2 linked regions of the Sus scrofa genome follow. Each later gene encodes a partner of the first gene's protein in a complex. Links are inferred from orthologs where the notes say so. Each region holds a gene or a part of one and is shown on either strand. Other genes may lie near its edges.

Region 1 (4,923 bases):
TCACTCTACCCTATATGATACAGAGGGTTTTTAAAGCTCCGAGGTAAATAAAAGCAATCACTTTTTACCAGCATTCAACTTTACATGGTATAGTATCTTTAATGCTAACTGCATTCTCCCCCTCACTCACCCAATGTTTCCCGTCTTTTCCACACCAGGTTTCAAACAAATGCGAGACAGAACAGGGTGGGGTAGAGGAAAAATACAAGCAGCGCCTTTCGGCGATTCCCCCCACCCCCGCCCCGGACCCCCAATAATTTCCAACAGTTTCTCCTACTACGAAAATAAATCGCCCTATCTCAGGATATACAACAGTTATTCTGTGTCTTCAGTTGACACCCAGAAAGAGACGCGTACACATACCAGCACTCTCGACCCCCGCCCCACGCCCCCGAATGTTAACTAGTGTTTAATCTACTGAACACGAAGACGGCAACGAGATCCCTCCACCTACTGTTTCGGGGTAACGGTGGGTGGAGGACTCGTTTCAAAGTAGCCCCAACAGTGTAACCAAAACACGGTTCCGGAATAAAATATTAAGAACACTTTTCCTTTCCCACCTAGCTACCGACTTCGGGATGCAAAAAGCCATCCACACAGCATCTCACGTCTACAGTGCTCCTACCCTGAGTTTGGGGTTGGGATGTGTCCCTGGGAGGATGGGAGAAGGAGTGTGAGCGGGCGATGGGACACAAACGACTTGCTCCCCACGGCCACCCCGCGCCGCGGCGCCAGCCCAGAGGTCCAGGACCCGCACCTCGCGCACGCTTCTCCGCCCAGGCCCAGCTAAAAGCTCCGACTCCGTCTCCCGAACTTCCTCTCTAGAGACATTTATTCAAGGCTAACACATCACCCAAGTACACGTCACCCAGTTTCAAATACAGTTCTGCACCCCAAACAAACCCACACCTCAAATTCCCCTCACAGTTTCCCAAACTCCAAACAAGAGACCCCACCTCCAGGATTCAAACCTTCCGCCCACCAAGGAGGTAACCAGGAGGAAAGAGTTAGGGAGCAGCCGACGCCTTTCCATTTTCGCCCCCCACAAACTGCCCCACCCCAGACCCTGCGTCCGGGTCACCCCCCTCGGAAGCCCCACGCTTCCTCCCTCCTCTCAGTCGGGCCGCCTAAGAGACCCACCCCCGGCCCACTCACTTTCTCTCCCAAACCCCTCCAAAAAGAAAAAAGAAAAAAAGTGAAGAGAAAGAAGTGAAGAAAGAGACTTGAGGGAGCCCGCCTTCCAAATCGCTCGACTCACCTCAGAATCCTTGCTGAGTTCTCTCCGCCCGGCACAGCCCCCTCCCCAACGTCCCAGTACGAAGGGCTGAGGTAGGGAGGAGGGGAAAGCGGGAGGGGGAGGGGTGTCTTCCGCGTGGGGCGCCCGTCGGGAGGGGACTGGGGAGGGGTTGAGGCCGGCGCAGGAAGAGGAGAAGGGGGAGGGGAGGCCCCTATCTCCCAGTCTCCCCCTGAAAACCTCCCTTGTCTCAATCACATCAGACTGACTGTCTTTGTCTGGCTGACAACCGCCATATTGATATCAACAGCCCCGCTCCCACCTGCTGCCGCCGGGCGGCCCTGGGAGTTGTAGTTTCTTACTCCCTCGAGTAAAAGCGCGGGACTCGGCGCCCGGAGGCCCTGGGGGACTACAGCTCCCGGCAAGACCTGCGCCATTCGCCTTCCCACAGGGAGGAGGGGAAAGGGGCGCCAGAGTCGTAGGGACTACACATCCCAGAATACCGTGGGCTCTGGGCCCAGACAGGGGACATGATATCATGCTGGGATGGAGAGGGAGAATGATTTGGCGGCGGGGAAGAATTTGAGCCGAAGGAAGGAGGAAAGAGAGAAAAAGGAAAGATGACCACAGTTCCCATGATGCAAGAAGACAGGACTACATTTCCCATGATGCATCCGGAAGGGGGCGTAGGGAAGAAAGACTGCATGTCCCGCGATGCTCGAGGCTGGCGGGTGGCGGAGATTGAACCGGAAGAGGCTTTCTGGTTCTGAGGAGTCCAGTGACTGATATTGAACAACCTAAAGTCCAATATGAAATTGGTGAGTCTCTGCTCCTAGGTCAGAGGGCAAAGGTGATGCCATATCCTTTTGGACTTCGTCGTTTCCAACTTGTGGTGGGAACCGTCGCGGAAGAGGGGTGGCAGTTAGAGACTTAGAAAGTGGGGTGAACCAAGGAAAGCTGCTCCTTGTGGTTGAGTTTGAATCCCACCTCCCACCCCCGACCCCCAGATCTTATTTATCCCTTGGCGGCTCCTGTGGTTAGATAAGAGATTGACTCTGTCACCTTACTTCACACACGAACTGAGGTTGGGCTTTATGAACTAGGTTTGACTGATTTCACAGCTGCCATGTGAGTTTTATAATTGGTTAACTTCTTTCCACGCGATTGGCGTTTGATTAGCGTTTCTTACAGTTTTTGAAAAGGCTTTGGTTACATATGAGCAGAGTTTAGAAAATATTGGGCAGAGTAATCACTTAAGTTTTCTGTTATAGACTCCTAACTGTCTTTGATATTCAGAGAAGGACGAGATCATGGTATGGTATGATCGTGGAAGATTTAAGTTTTAAACCCTGTATAATATGGTTTAAGTGTCAAGGCATTCAGTCTAGGGCTGTAGGGACTGTATGAGCCAAGATTAGATGGAGCCTGCCAGGATACCTGGAAAATTCTCTGCATCACAAAACTCAAAACACTTGGCTTGTAGGGAGGCTGCTCAGGCCTTTATTTTGAGCCACGTTACTCTGTGTGCACACAGATTTAGCTACTTTAACTAGTTTATTCCAACTGTATGGTATTAGTAGAAAAGCAGGTGTGAGATGCTGTTTCTCAACCTCTTAAAATTCGCATTCCTGCAGCCAAGTGTTGTAAATCTTTACTTTCCTGTAATTTTAGTAGAAAAATAAAATGTGCATTTTCTTAATTGTTTGAGCATGCTTTTCCAAAGTGTGCAGCCCAGGCTGGTGCCTGCACACACACGCTAAGGGCCTGTGCTCTTCAGAGTTTCAGCTGTTTTCTGAGGAGTCAGAGAAATAGAAGTAGATTCAACACTAAAGCTGTTTAGGTAAGGAGAAGGACACAGATCAGTAAACCTTGAGGATATCAATTTGCTTCTGGGTCAGTTTTCAAGACATGTAAAAATGCCAAATTGAAAGTCACCACCCATATCCAAAAGAAGTGTGCAATGAAGAAGATACAAAAGTAATAAATGATATTTCACTGTTTTCATGGTAAATGGAAGCATGTTCAGTGTTTAGGGATTTAGAGGATGATGGGGGTTGGGGGAGTGGGAGACAGCTCTATGGAAAGGAGACTCTTTAACAGTTAAGCAAGGTGAGTAGGCTAGGGCTTTCCTTGAAGAGGGTTCAGCTTTAGAAGCAAAAGAGCTTTGCACCTGAGTGCTTGAAATAAAGACCATGTTTTCTTGATAAAGGATAAATCACATTTGGTATGTATGCTCGGTGCAGAGGCAGGAAAATGGAAAACAGTTCTTTTCCATAATAGCTCATTTGCTGAGGGTATCAGAGAGTTAGGGTTTAGTTTACATATGCTTTGGTTTGCTTATGAAATCCTCCTGCTTACCTCATTTAAAGAAGATAAAAAAGGGGGAAAGAGAAACTATTTTTCTTTCAAGAATCATAAAATGCCTTAGAGGAATAAGGTAGTTGATGATTCTGTGAGAATATCTATTGACACAGCAAAGTGTTTCAAGAACACTGACACTCAGTAAGCAGGCTTCTTTTTTGTATCATGCCTCCCATAGAGTTGGAATAAATTTTCCTAGGGCCTAAAAATTTTTAACTTTGTGTACTGCTTCCTGAATATGTGATAAACCATGTTTTGTATTTCTATCATGAAACACAGAAATATTTTTTATAGAGTACATTCTTGTTTTGGAGATTATGACTTCCCCAAACACCCTTCCCACGTACAATCTATGACCATATCTTGGTGATTCTGCAGTTCTTAAACTGGTCTGTTTCTCTCCAGTACCACCAATACAGCCTTTGTAGGGGCTCTTTTCACTTGACACTTGAAATTCAACAAAACCTTCTAACTGGTCTCCCACCCTCAAATCCATTCCCTACTCCATGCCCAGAAGTTGTTTTAAATTGCAGTGTTCCTTTAAAACCCTTTGGTAGCTTCCTTTGCCCTTAGGATAGTCTTAAAATTATTTTTTTGTTGTTCTGTTTTAGAGTTTTGTGGTTTTGGGGTTTTTATTTTTTATTTTTGGTTTGGGAGGGGTTTTTTGGCCGCACTTGCGGCATACAGAAGTTCCTAGGCCAGGGATCAGACCCAAGCCACAGCATTGTCAATGCTGGATCCTTAACCTGCTGAGCCACAAGGGAACTCCTTAAAATTCTTGACTTGACTTGCTTGATCCTGTAGATTCTGGCCCTGCTGACTTCTCCAGGCTAATGTCTAGCTCTCCTCTCTTGACCTCCTTGTTCCGTTTGTATTGTATGTCTTTCAGTTCCTTGAAGTCCGCCTGCTCTCTTTTGCCTCTGGGACTTTAAGTGTGTTCCATTGCCTCCAACACTTTTTGCCTGGCTCATTTCTTCATGTTTCAGGTCTGTGTTTAAATAGCACTTCTTTAGTGTTTCCTTGAATTAGGTACCCCTTTTATATGTTTCAATGGCAAACTTCCTTTGATAGCACTTGTAATCATTGGTCTTATGTCTGTCCTACTTCTTACAGACTCTTCATATTCCCACACCCCCATTGTGTGATGCTCCTAAATAGTAGTTGAATAAATCATTTCTGAAGGATTGTCAAAGTCCGTGAATATTGTTGAGAATAGATTAAAGGGTGAAGTTGAAATATTACAAGAAGCAACAACCTTTGGAGTTAAAAAGAATGATTGCTACCTTTTATGGAGCACTTATTGTGTGCTAGCCACTGTGCTGGTGCTT
Region 2 (4,858 bases), on another chromosome or scaffold:
TTTCCTCATGGCTCGAGCAAGTCATTGCTCAAAGACACAAATCCTGGAAGATATGACAGTCTAAGCTTGCACATACCTCATCTAACTTCAAAATATATAAGGGGGGAGATAGAATTTCAAAGAAAAACTGTCGACCCAAAATCTTAAGTATAAGATTTTCACTTCTCTCTCAAAAACGATTCAGATTAGCAAAAACATAACCGGTTTTAATGACCTAAACTTGAACTAAGGAAGACTATTCTCTTTTCATCAGGGAGAATAGTGAGGAAAACAAACACAGGCTAGGCGAGGAGGGACAGATGACCGGCTAAGGGATACCAGGTCTCCTTTAAGAAGATGAAAGTGGGAGTTACCAATGTGGCACAGTGGGAAGGAACCTGACTAGTATCCATGAAGATGTGGTTTCAATCCCTGGCCTCGCTCAGTGGGTTAAGGATCCAGCGTCACTGTGAGCTGTGGTGCAGGTCACAGACACAGCTCAGATCCTGCATTGCTACGGCCATGGTGTAGGCCAGCAATGAATTTACGAATACTCACTTTTTTGGCCGCGCCCATGGCATGCAGAAGTTCCTGGACCAGGGATCGAACCCAAGTCACAGCAGTGACAATGCTTGGATCCTTAACCACCAGGGGACTTCTAAAAACCACTTTAGGAGTTCCCGTCGTGGCGCAGTGGTTAACGAATCCGACTAGGAACCATGAGGCTGCGGGTTCGGTCCCTGCCCTTGCTCAGTGGGTTAAGGATCTGGCGTTGCCGTGAGCTGTGGTGTAGGTTACAGACGCGGCTCGGATCCTGCGTTGCTGTGGCTCTGGCCTAGGCCGATGGCTGCAGCTCCGATTCGACCCCTACCCAGGGAACCTCCATATGCTGTGGGAGCGGCCCAAGAAATAGCAAAAAAAAGGCAAAATAAATAAATAAATAAATACCACTTCAAATGGGTCAATTCTGGAGTTCCCATTGTGGCTCAGCTAGAACCTGACAAGTGTCCATGAGGATACAGGTTCAATCCCTGACCTCACTCAGTGCCTCAAGGATCTGGTGTTGGCACAAACTGCATGGGTCACAGCTGCAGCTCTGATTCAACCCCTAGCCCAGAAGCTTCAATATGCCACAGGTGTAGTGTCAAAAGAAAAAAAAAAAAAAAAAAAGATAATAAATGGGTCAATTCCATGGTATGGAAATTATATCACAAATAAAGCTATTCAGAAATACTTTTTAATCATTAAGAAGTCTACAAATAACAAATGCGGGAGAGGGTGTGGAGAAAAAGGAACCCTCTATCCTGATGGTGGGAATGTAAACTGGTGCAGCCACTATGGAGAACAGTATGGAGGTTCCTTGGGGGTCAAACCCACACCAGAGCAGTGACCCAAGCTGCTGCAGTGACAATGCCAGATCCTTAACCCACTGCACCACAAGAGAACTCCCGTTATTTATAATGATGACACATCAGAAACACAAACATCAAACGATGGTGAACTAATTATAATATTAAGGTCTATTCATAGAGCAAATAACAGTCAATAACACCAGTGCGTCCGTGGGAAAACACGCACTAGGACAGAAGGAGAGAAAGTCTGTATGTATATGGTATGATCTCGTTTTTATAGAAAACTACCTCTTTATGACGTGTCAAGAAAAAGCCTGGATGGAAATAAAAGGGTTCAGAGTGGTTTCATTTTTCTCTTTATTCCTCTGTGCTGCTCAAGTTGTATTTTAAAAATATGTATTGCATAATTAGAAAGAAAAACCGATTTTTAGAACAGAAAAACGCAATGCTAACAACAGAATAAGCTGGTCTGTGTCCTCAGCAGCCACGGAGCACGGCCTGAACAACGGGAGGCCTGCAGCTCAAGCTGTCCCCATCACCCCCTCAAGCTCAGCTTGCCGTTCCCCAAATCCAGGAGGAATCTTCAAGATGTGACAGAATGCCACCAGAGAGACAGAAGAGGGCAGCCCTACCCCCTCTAGCCTCTAGGGAAAGTCAACAGTGGCAGCCTCACCCTCACCTGCTTCAGTTATTGTTTTAAACCAGTCCAGCAGCTTCTCCAAGCAAGTATCATCTGCCACAGGCTGCCGGGGGTCTGCCAGGACGGCGCAGAGAGCCGGGAGGAGCCGGGAGCACTCCGGGTCCATGATGAAGCTGCAGTTCCTGCAAAAGGAAATGTCAGGGCCAGGTCCCACCTGCCCTGGTCACGGGAAGCCCCCAGGCCTCCCCTTTCATCTCAGGCCAGGGGACCGCAATCCTCAGGTGGAAACTCTAAGCTGCCGGGATGGATGAAAAGCCTCAGCTTGGGTAGGATGGGAGATTGTCACGAGCAAGCAGAGCCCTCAATTGTGGAGGCAGAGATGGAAGGGAGTCTGGAGTAAACCATGAGGCCGCAGGAGACGAAAATCGGCCAACCTTAGATTTCGGTGGGAGAAGAGGGTGAGGCTGACCTAGGCTGCAGGTGAGCCAGTGAGGGACGTGGGCACACTCTGGGGCCAGCCACTTGTAGGGGGCAGGCCAGATGGAAGTGTCTGTCTGTCCCTCTCAGGGTCAGTGTGAAAACCCTGCAGCCAGCGGCGTGTGCGGTGGGGAAGGCACTCTGCCCACTGTCCGTTCCTAGCTGGGCGCGGCAAGTGCACCTGCGTGCGCGGCCCGGGAGAGGACTGGGGAGCCCGGCGGGCTGTGGGCAGGGGGGCTCCTGCGGGAGGGTGGGACTCTGCCAGGGTCCGGAGCAGGCCTGCCTGGGCTGGGTGTCCGTCTGTCCACCCCTGCCCAGGCTAAGTCCTTGCGGAAGGCGCCCTCCCTGGGAACGCCGCTGAGGGCGCCAGGCCGGCGGCGGCGGTGGTCACAGACCCCAGGCCAGGCGGCGCACGCGGGCCCTACGGAGCTCCCTGCCCTCGCCCGGGCCCCGAACCGGTTCCCAGCCAAGCCCACTACAGCGACCGCAATCCTCGTCCCGGCGCGCATCTCACCTGCTCGCGCCCCTCAGCCGCCGCAGGCCCCGCCCCGGACCGCGCCACCGGCCGGCCTGGGGGGGACGAGGACGGGGACGGCGGGCGTAGGGATCCGGGGAAGCGCCGCGGAGGCCACGCTGAAAGCCCAGAGCGCCCAGGCTCGGGGAACGAGCTCAGGCTGCGGGGAACCGGACGCCGCCAAACTCGCCGCGCTTGCCCATCACGCCCTCCTGGACGCTCATTGGACGCGCTCGGGCGTCCAGCAGGCTTTGCGCCTGGAAGGCGGAGCTTCCGGCGGAAGGGGCGTGGCCTCGGCAGCCGAGGGCCCACGTGTTTGGGCTGGCAAGGAAAGCAATGCCTCACCTGGCGGTAGGCTGGTGATTTCTCTGTACTGGTCCATGGGGTTTCATTCAGAGGCCAAGGTGCATTGAATGCACCTTGCCCCCTGTACATAGCTTAGCCTAGTTTACCCTACACTCGCTCTGCAGTTGGACAAAATCATCTAACTCGAAGCCTATTTTATGATAAAGCATTGACTATGTCATGTAATTGGTGGAATACTGTATTGAAAGTGAAAAGCAGAGTGGTTGTTGGTACGGAATGGTTGTAAGTGTCCGGTTGTTTACCCTGATGATTGCATGACTGAGGGGGAGCTGCAGTTCCCCGCCTCTGTCCAGCACCAGGAATGTATCCTAGCGCATACCCCCAGCTGGGAAAAGATCAGAATTCAAAATTCGAAGTCCGGTTTCCACCGAATGTATTGCTGTTTTCTCACCAGTGTAAAATCAAAAAGTTATAAGTGGAATCATGAGAATTTGCGTCTGTAATTAAATCAGAGAAAGTAAGTGAATTAATAGATGCAGGAAGGGCTGGGGGTTTGCAGAAACCCAGGAGTGGGAGAGGAGCAAGAGGCACTGGTGCGTGGGTAGCTGAAGTCCTAAAAGCACTCACCTGCCCCACGGACAGTACCGGAGGAAGCAGATGGACGTTATTAAGAAAGTGAGAGGCCTGCTAACAGGGCTTCACAGAGCAAAGGAGCACCAATAAGTGAAGTGGATAATTTCGGAAGAAATAAAAATAATTGCACCAGCAGCAAAGTGTTATCTGGTAGTATCTGGTTTTTGAGGTGTTACTGTGGAAAGTAACATAATGTCTTTTCTATCAAAGGAAACCTTGGTGACTCCATTTTGCTCTGTTTTTGGCTGAAATGCCCTCCTGGGACACCCCTCCTCTTTCCCTCTTCTCCCAGTAACAATTTGTTTCAAATGAGCCAACAGAGAAGAATGTGTGCCCTGACCTGACCAATGGGAAGAGGACAGGTCCACCACCTGCCTAGGGATAAATAGGGAGGGCTTTTCTTCTAAGCCTGTGCTTTTTGAGTCCCAGCGGCCTTCTGCCTTGTCGAGATCGCCCCGTGTTCATGTGTCCCATTTTCTGGCACCAACGATCCAAGCCATTTCCCCAACATTACCATGTACCAGGCACTGTCCTGAATTTTATCTCTAATCTCCTTCAGTGCCAACGAAAGCCCTGAAACTGTCTTCACTTCACAGACACAGAGATGACAGTGAGTCTACTAAACCTGAGCTCCTGACCATTAACCCACTCAATTTACCCTGCGTCCCGGAAAATAGACTTGGACCACTGTGTGGCTCACCCCCTTTGTTGTGGAGATGAGTAAACTGAGGAAAAGAAGATCATAGACTCTTTTTTTTTTTTTTTTTTGCCTTTTTAGGGCCACACCCGTGGCATATGGAGGTTCCCCGGCTAGGGGTCTAATCAGAGCTGTAGCTGCTGGCCTACACCAGAGCCATGTCTGCAACCTACACCACAGCTTACAGCAATGCCGGATCCTTAACCCACTGAGCAAGGCCAGGGATCGAACCCACCACCTCATGGTTCCAAGTCAGATTC

The links.
Region 2: the proteins of INTS9 (region 1) and BRAT1 are in contact, whole or in part, in a cryo-EM structure (PDB 8UIB), measured with the Homo sapiens proteins. The link is inferred for Sus scrofa from reciprocal best matches to the Homo sapiens genes INTS9 and BRAT1. Residues at the interface, in NP_060720.2 of Homo sapiens: Gly276, Met277, Gly279, Glu280, Cys282, Ser283, Asn284, Ala286, Leu287, Arg290, Asn291, Tyr315, Asp317, Ser318, Ala319, Gly320, Ser483, His484; in NP_689956.2 of Homo sapiens: Ala406, Pro407, Cys416, Pro460, Gln506, Lys507, Arg508, Cys510, His511, Pro512, Arg517, Glu545, Leu549, Gln552, Asp556, Pro557.

Annotation. Positions count from the first base shown.
Region 1 is NC_010456.5:12,689,256-12,694,178, reverse strand, and holds the start of INTS9 (integrator complex subunit 9), read left to right. Parts: upstream 1-1,738; 5' UTR 1,739-2,043; coding exon 2,044-2,052; intron 2,053-4,484; exon of another isoform or gene 4,485-4,572; coding exon of another isoform or gene 4,573-4,581; intron 4,582-4,923. UniProt on the Homo sapiens protein: Component of the integrator complex, a multiprotein complex that terminates RNA polymerase II (Pol II) transcription in the promoter-proximal region of genes.
Region 2 is NC_010445.4:1,903,985-1,908,842, reverse strand, and holds the start of BRAT1 (BRCA1-associated ATM activator 1), read right to left. Parts: upstream 3,196-4,858; 5' UTR 2,963-3,195; intron 2,154-2,962; 5' UTR 2,138-2,153; coding exon 2,011-2,137; intron 1-2,010. UniProt on the Homo sapiens protein: Component of a multiprotein complex required for the assembly of the RNA endonuclease module of the integrator complex.